Oryzias latipes: one gene and its partner. Each later gene encodes a partner of the first gene's protein in a complex. Links are inferred from orthologs where the notes say so. Each region holds a gene or a part of one and is shown on either strand. Other genes may lie near its edges. The genes, in order: mta1 and cdk2ap1.

Evidence for each region.
Region 2: mta1 (region 1) and cdk2ap1 share a complex: the UniProt entries of both Homo sapiens proteins name them as parts of the nucleosome remodeling and deacetylase (NuRD) repressor complex. The link is inferred for Oryzias latipes from reciprocal best matches to the Homo sapiens genes MTA1 and CDK2AP1.

Annotation. Positions count from the first base shown.
Region 1 is NC_019880.2:4,694,743-4,699,036, reverse strand, and holds the start of mta1 (metastasis-associated protein MTA1), read left to right. Parts: upstream 1-1,351; 5' UTR 1,352-1,370; intron 1,371-1,485; exon of another isoform or gene 1,486-1,514; 5' UTR 1,515-1,587; coding exon 1,588-1,615; intron 1,616-4,294. UniProt on the Homo sapiens protein: Transcriptional coregulator which can act as both a transcriptional corepressor and coactivator. Acts as a component of the histone deacetylase NuRD complex which participates in the remodeling of chromatin.
Region 2 is NC_019870.2:2,597,104-2,601,514, forward strand, and holds the start of cdk2ap1 (cyclin-dependent kinase 2-associated protein 1), read left to right. Parts: upstream 1-1,569; 5' UTR 1,570-1,747; coding exon 1,748-1,814; intron 1,815-3,754; coding exon 3,755-3,855; intron 3,856-4,411. UniProt on the Homo sapiens protein: Inhibitor of cyclin-dependent kinase CDK2. Also acts as a component of the histone deacetylase NuRD complex which participates in the remodeling of chromatin.

The DNA of each region.
Region 1 (4,294 bases):
TCTAAATGCTTGTGCACATCCATTTTGTAGAAAAAAAACACACACCCTCAGTGCTCTTTGTCATAAAAGAGCGCCAGGATATAATCCAGGATCCCTCCCAAGCAGCTCAACGCGGAGACTGCACACATAAGTAGGAGTGCATGAGGCACGCACAGCTGATTGGCCTGATCCACTCATGTGATCACAAGCAGAGTCCCCCGTGTTAGGCCATGGTAATTGAAGCTTCCATATGGTATAGATCAGATGTTGCCTTCACCACAGCATTCCTGCAGCACAGTGACTTCCTTTTTGCATCCACACTGAAAACTGGGCTAATTTGGACAACTGTTTGGCATAACACCCACTCATGTAACGTCAAATAAATGAAATTCAATTTGCTAAATGACAAAACAAATTACATGTTTATGGTTTATACATTGGAGGATTTATTGATGATCTATTGTCTAATTTTTTCTTGCGTGGCAGGTGTGACGCTCTTTGCCAAAGTATACAAGAAAACGAACTTTAGCAGGAAACAGAAAAATTATGAAAAGCGTTCACTATTTTCTTACAGTTCTTTATATTACAAAGATATGAGCCATTATATAATGAATATATTACTATATTAAATTAGGGTGAAATATTTCATATTTTAAAGTAAAAATTGGATTAAAATTAAACATTTTAGCATAATATTAATCATGTTTATCCAATCACCAATTGGCTACTATTTAAATCTAAAGTCTGTAAAGTTATGCCATATTTAAACAACAATTTCTCCAATTTATCATTTTCTGTTGCTTCTGAAAATGTTACTTCTATGGAACTTATTTTTGTTTATAAAAATAATCCCTGAGTTAATTTTAAAAAGTGTGAAAAATTACTAGTTTTACTCTATTTTGGTTGCACGTGCAGTTAGTTAAACACTACGGCAACTCTTTAGGGATACTTTTAAAACAAATAAAAAAGATGATTGAGAAGGAGATTCTTAATTTGACAATTATTTCAGAGTTATTATTTATAATCAAAACTCCTATAACTACATAATATATAGGGAAACAGCAAATAAGTACATTTATTTACATAAGCACAGGTGATGTTCGCATTTCTATATCCAAGAACTTTTGTTTTTTATTTTAAAGTATCGCGATAGTTTAAGTTCTATGCCGCAAATAACTGAGGCAATGTTGGGATTTTCAAATAATAGTCGAATTATCTTTCTTGACAAGCAAAATTGTGATTTTAAACAAAAGTGTACATTCAATTGTCAAATTTGAAGTTGACATTTTCATAAAAACGACTTACATAGACGCGTTTAAGGAAGATTACGTCACTTTCTCGTTGTATAAATTACACGTTTTGGGAAATATGTCATGTGTCGCTACTTAAAGGTAATATTTGTTGAAATTGTGAGTTCACTTATCCACGTCCGGGTGCCCAAATTTTGAGGTTTCGAAAAAGAGGTGTACTGTCTCTTTAAGACGTCTCTGGCAGTCTGTTTCGTATTGATCAATCCACCATTTTCCAACACACAGCAGCTCCGGCAGCGCCACAGAGAAGAGAGCCACCCCTCTACCTGGAGAGGAAGCCAGGGACCGGGGCGCAGTCATGGCAGCGAACATGTACCGGGTTGGAGGTAAGCGCACACGGGTTCGGCTCTTTGGAACACCCCCGTCTTCGTTATTTTATGGCGGGCTCGCCATTATTCACAGAGCGAGATCTTTTATTTCCCAAAAAGCTAAAGAGCTTTGTGCCTCCACAGATGAGGATGGTGTGAAGAGGAGGATGGTGATGAAGAGTAGTAGATCTTTTTTTTTTTCTAATCACGAAATGTTGGTAGCTTCTTTTGTGCCTGTGTTTTGTTGCTCAGCGTGGAGCCAAACAACTCCTTCAGTGTGGGGATGCGCACTTTAGTGAAATGCTTTAGGTTCTCTCCTGTTTGAAGGTATCATGGCGAACATTTTCCCCAAAGTTTTGCGTGCGTTTAAACTGCTTTCTGCTCGGAGTAGCAGCCAGGAGGACTTCACTGACTGACCAACGGAGACAGGTAAAGCATCCATGAGCTGAAGGAGAAGGAGGCTGCTGGGACAAAAAGTTCAATTCTACCAAAAACATTTGGGGAACACCAAACTGGCAACTTTAGTGATGGTTTTCATGCCCATCCATCGCTAAGCTATTTTATTTCCATAATAATTTAAAAATATTTTTAAACAGGCAATTGATTAAAGTACCTAATTAAGATTCCCCACCCACTCGTTCTCTGCCTGTGTTCAGATTCAAATCCTACAGGGGAAAAAAACACGTGAAAGTTCACATAACAAAGTCTAATAATGTCATTATAAATTATTGTAAATATATTAGCCCTCTTGTTGTGGTTTAAATGTTTAAAAATACCCTTTAAAATGTTACAAATGTCTTGTTTTGTGTGTTAAAGGTTTAAACAAGCAAAAAACAACAACAGGTTTTTGGTTTAATTTTAGAAATTAGGAAGTGTTTTTTGGGATTTAAATAAATTTTTTTTTCTATTATTGTAACATAAGCTATCTTGACAACAGTGGTCATTATAGAATAATCCACACAAAGATGCTTTTCTAGTTATTAATTTAATAATGTGTGTTTATGTTTTTAAAATGTATCAAAAACTTGTAGACTGGTGTAAAAATGATATGTGAACTAACTGAAAAAACCATTAATTTGAAACATTTTGATACCATAATATTTATCTCGATGGTACACATTTCTCTGTGTTAGGACTTCATAAAAAAGTTTTGTAAAGATACATATAATGATGCTCAAAATTAATTTAAATCTTATTTTTAATGTTTTTCTTTCACCCCTAAATCCAGTTTGAATTAGATCTTCTTCTTTAAATGTATTGGCATTGAAATAACACCTGAATTTGTCGGATTTTTGCATTACTTACCCTCCTAAACGTTCATCAAAACAAACACTGACTGAATTAGTTCACAACTAGAACGTAAATATAGTGTTGAGTGGGCGATTTTTCTGCGAGTAATTTAGATGGGGTGCTGTGTGGGTTTTTGAACAATTGACGTTCTTTGGCTTGGATGAAGTTGTCATTTGTCTCGAGATGTGTCATCGTATCCCCGAAGAGCTGGCAGCAGGTGCAGCAATTTACAGCTGAGTTTATTTATCTAATCTATGTATTGATATTCTTTGGTCATAACCGCTTGTACAGGCTGAGTAACCACATTTTGTAGTACATCTAACCAGTGTGTGCACGTCTGGGAAAGAGGAACGATGATGAAGAAGAATTACCTTCACTTTATGGATCTATTTGCTTGTTCTGACCAAAAAATCGTCCCATCAAATGTAGGAGTTAGATGGACTTCTATGGATCAGCTATAGTCAAATTAAACCAGATCTACCTGACTGGCAACAGGATTATGCCCAGATCAGGGTAGAAGGTTAACCCTCCCTCTGCCAAAGTGTTGCCTAATTTGGTCCAAACCTTCATCGTCATTCTCTAGAGGAGAATCCATCAGCAGGGCTTAAATTCCTCATCTGAGCAAATTGTAATTAACTGTGCAGATGTATTATTTATTTATTGCCTTAATGCACTGAGCTTGTATTGGGTTGCCTCTGTTTTGTTGCACCGCAGCTCAGGAAATGTAATTAAATTTATCAATCAGGGTCTAAGCTGTTTACACAAACTCCCTAATTTGTCATTTTGGAAAAAGAAAAATCCATTTAGCTTCTTATAAAATACTTGAAAACATCTTAGGATTATGAAACTTACCCAATTTAATCAAAAATCATTAAACATAAGTCATAAAAATAGGACGTCTTAATTAATAACTGATAGGAGTAATCTAGACTTAGCCAATAATAAACCCTGCCTCTCCTGAAACCGGTTCCAGGTCATCATCAGAAGAAAGCAGAGCCTTAAAGAGTTGCCTTCAACTTTGCAAGACAATGCTGCTGAACCATCTTAGGAAGGACTTCCTTTGAAAAAGACTTGGACAAAAGCAGGCTCCTCTGGCCTTCATGTCTTTGTTTTGCACAGCGCAGGCCACAAGCCACTCATCCGGTGCACACAGCGGTTTTTCCTCAATGCTTCGCACCAGAGAAAGTGTTAATTACCAAAGATGGGCTGTGTGTAAAGCATAGAAGCAAACACAGCTTCTGCTTATTGAACTAGAGTTCAGGAGACATAATTTATTCGTGCAAATGTGTTGCTTAAAGGAAAATGACTGCAGAGAATTTAGTTGCCTTCGAGAAAAGAACCAAAAGGTGCTGAGAGTTAAGTGTGTCAATCATATATAGGGTATTTCAGAAGGATTCAGCATGCTTC
Region 2 (4,411 bases), on another chromosome or scaffold:
AACCTCTGCTTTACTGACGTCTGGATTATTTGTACATTTTGAAGTCGTCTGTTGGAACTTGAATGTGCACCTTGGTGGACAGCGGCACGGATGGCGGAGCGTTGAGGGTCTCGCTGTGTTCAACGGGAACAGCGCCGCTGCTCGCCATGCACTACTGACGGGACGTGTATATGAACGAGTGCAATGCTCAATAAAGCTCCATTTACGTCTAGCTTTGGTGCTTCAGTGAAGCTGCTGTTTGTCAAGAAAAAGTCGATGTTTAGACGACTTCAGTTAAATTTCTGTGAGCAAAACTGGAAGAAATCTAAAAGAAAAATGTTTGATTTTTTTTTTGATTTTCTGTCACTGTTTTTATTTTAGCAATGAGATTTTGTAAAAACTCATTATTTTGTGCTCTAATTTAATTGATTTATCTAAAATTATTACATAAAATACACTAAAAGGCTGGGAAGTAAAAGTAGATTTAAACAATGTGATGTTGGATATAAAGCGGTATTTAAATTTGAAATTATTTTTGACATCTGACACAAACTTTCAGTAAATTTAAGGCTTATTTTTATCCTAAATGAAGATATTTGACCTAAATTAGGTTAAACTTAAGTTACAGAATAAACTTAAGACAAACACAATGTTAATCACTAAAAATAAAATATTTTTTAAAGATTTCTTTAAAAATAAAATATTTTTTAAAGATTTCTTTTTTATTTGAGCAATGAATAAGAATTAACCTGAGGAAATGTACTTATTTTAAAGTATTTTTGTTTACTTTTACATTGTAAAAAAAAAAAAAATTGACCAAAATTTGGTTACTAAAATATGTAAAAGAAAAAAATAAAATGCAAAATATCAAAAACTCTAATTTTATATAGGTTTTAATGTAATTTTTAAATAAATTAGAAATTAAATATTTTTCCAAGCTTTTATTCATTTGTGCAATAAATTTAAATATTTCAAGTAAACTTTCAAAACATTTTAAAATCTTACTTTTATTCACTTTAACATCATACGAAACATAAAATTTGTCTTAAATAGTGATATTTAAAAAAACATGAAAAGGATGATGGGAAATGTTTAATTTTTTTTAATATTTCCCAGCAAGTTAACATTGGATTATTTAACAGATGATTAAAATAAAAGTCAAAAACTACATTTTTTTTTTTCTTCTGGAAACATTTCTGAATGGCGAAGATGTGGGGGACCCAGCCGGTACCGGGGGGCCACCATGTGGGCAGCGGGGCCTGATGGGATATAAAGACTGGTGTGGGTTCTGGGGGGGAGGGGGTTCTGGTTCCCCAGACCAAAGCAGGTACCAGTCCCCCTTATTTCCCTGCAAGCAATTCCAAACCCGCGCGTGCACCAAACGCGTGGTGGATTTATTTAAGTTCATTCATCAAAACTTCCAAAAAAAAAAAGTGTAAAACAAAAACTAAGAAGGTTTGAGTTTAAAACCTTCAAGTGGTTTTAATCTTGAAACCTTAAAAAAAAAAAAAATATTTTTTTTTTTTTTTGGAGCAAACTTTGGGTTAAATGTCACATAAGCGCGCGCGCGACGCCGCGCGCGTGCGCTAGATGTGTAAAAAGATGTTTAAAAAGTGGTTTTGTGCCGCGCGGATGGCAGCGGCTCTGGAAACCCAGTGGGTGTCAATATAAAGTGACGGCCATATTTGCCGGTGCCGCTGTTGTAAACAAAAAGTGAGAGACAGACGCTTCACTGAATTTCGGGTCATTTTTATTTCTTTAATTTACAATGTCTTTGGGAATGTCTTACAAACCCAACGTCCATCAGCACATTCCGGGAACTTCAGGGAACCAGGGTAAGAGCAAAACGGCGGTCAAAAGCCAACTACCCGCCCGCTACATCGAGCGTTAAATTCGGGGTCTCGGAGAATACCTGGAGAAAGACTGTGTCTGTAGTTTTTGTCCAGTTATATATATAGGGTCAGATCCTGGGAGCTAGGCTAATTCATATCCGCCATTATTACTAATGTAAAAGGGCGCCATCCGCGGGTCGAGTCGGCGCGGAAACACGGCGGGGATGAGAAACGAGCGCGCGGCGCTTCCGAAAACGGGGTTCCCCGCCGTCCGGGGTCGCGGTCCCGCCCGGCGGGTGCCGTTACACGGTGACAAAAATGTATCGGTTATGTCTTCTTGAGCCAGCCTTGTTCCGTTTCCTCCATGATGCTCCTCGGTCGGAGCTGCTCGATTGATCCGCCTCGGAGGAGTTTCTGCCTCTTCGAGGACACCTGCCGGTCGGGGCCGATACTGCAGGCGCAGGAGGCAGGCTGGAGTTCATGGAGCCAAAAAACAACAAAGAAAACCTTTAATTTAGTGATACATCGTGGAAAATACTGAATTGTTTTCATTATTTTTTTCATTTAACAATTTCACACCTATTAATTAGTATTCAGATTTTTTAATGACTAATTCACTCTTATTTAGCAACAACTTAATTTTATTTCCTGATTTTAGAGTCAGAATGATGCACTTTTCATACTATTGTATTGATATATACAGTAATGCATGAACCAGTGACAATATCTGTAATTATTCATTCGTCTTTTGTCTTCACATTCTAAATCCATAAACATTATCAAACATTACATGATCAGTGTGTCCTGCAGCAGTCTGGGACACACTTTTGTGGTTTGAAATCTGGCGATTTCCTTATTTTCCCTCAAAATGGGAAAATAAACTTTTAGCTCAAGCGATCCTCACCAGGTTTCCCTGCTAGCTTCAGTCTACAACCAAAGTTTCGTTGACCTTTGAAGGGGCTTAAATAAAAATAAAAAATCGCCGTCTACAAATTTAAAGTCCTCCTGGGGATTTTGATCTATCGTTACTCATCATTTTGAACCTACATGGGGGGAAAAATGTTGGTTTTTAAAGTTTAAAGATTTGGAACGGTGTTGGCGGGGCGAGCTCGCAAAACTGGCGTTCCCCTGTTGGTCGCGCATTTCTTACCAGAATATTGTGGAAATTGAATACATTAATTCCTTGCGTCAAGCTGAATGAAACAATATGATATACAATAAAACCACATTAGGAATGGGGGCGTGGTTAATGATAAACCTCCGTTGCCAAGGAAATCCAAAAGTTTACTTTTGCCAATTTTTCTACAAATTACATCGACGGATTCGCCACCCCCAGGGGACCAAAAAAGGAAATGGTTGCTATGGAGATAAAACCAGCATGAAAGCCGCCATTTTTAAAATAGTTTGTCTTCATTAATGAGTTGAGCTTCATTTTAAAGACGGATGGTGTGGAGGTCATGTGGTCAAGTCTTTTGCATTTATCAGAGCCTAAAAGTTAAAAATAATCATAAAAATTCATCTGTGATCATTTTTTGGATGTCCGTACTTTCTAAAATGACTAGCGGATGTTTTTTTTTTCTCTCATTTTACCAAGTAAACCAAAGTTTCTGTTTCTACAAAGGTAATATTTCTCTAAAATCCTCATCCATCGTCAGCAAATGCAGGGACGGCTTTCAGCCTCGCTGTTCCGTAAACGGCTTTTTGGGGTTTTGACGCACACGTGTGAGGAAACCAAACTACAGATGTGTGTTTATGATTCTGCTGCGTTTAGGACTAAAATAATTCAAATCAAACAAAATATTTGATAGAAAGCTCTGAATCGGTTGTTTTTGTGTCACCAATGTCAGACAAACGGGCTCCATGTTTGGTATATTTTAGCAGTGAAAGAACAGAAGTACAGTCTTCTTGTATCATCTTTCATGATGCGGATGTTTTGCCTGCAGTTGGGAACCTTCAGTCGGCCTCGGCGGCTAACCTGGCCACGTTGCAGTCCTACAGACCCCTGCTGAGCGACTACGGACCTCCATCTCTGGGATTCTCACAGGTGAGCTCCGCCTTTAGACGCCGCAGAAACATCTTCTTCTTCCCAACCCTCGTCAGAGGTGTGGCGAGTCTTTCAGGGTTTCTGTTGGCGCTCGTGGAAACGCGGTGGCGGCGGCTCTACCGCTGACTGTACCTGAGACCTGGGCTGAGTGTGACCACATCCATCGACAATGGTTCAATTCTCCATTTTTTATTTTTTTGTAGTGAGTCCTTGTTTCTGTGGCAACCACCCTCACCAATCAGGGGTGGAGCTTATCCGAAGGCCACACCCCTACCACCTGAAAACCTGTCAATCGTTTTGGACATAGGGGCCGCCAGGCTCCACCTACTTTAGTTGAGGCCTCAATAATAAAAAGCAGATGTTAAAGCGCAGAAAACACCTGTTTCCGCACGTGTTTCACGCTGGTTTCCGTTAAGCTAACGTCCTTGTCTGATGAAGAACGGTTCTGCGTCTGGATCTTTGACAAACCGCTGGTTTCCACTTGTTTTCTCCTGGCCAATATTCAAACGGTACCATTAAAGTTTGAAAGTTGGTAAATAAAAACACCAGAGAACTC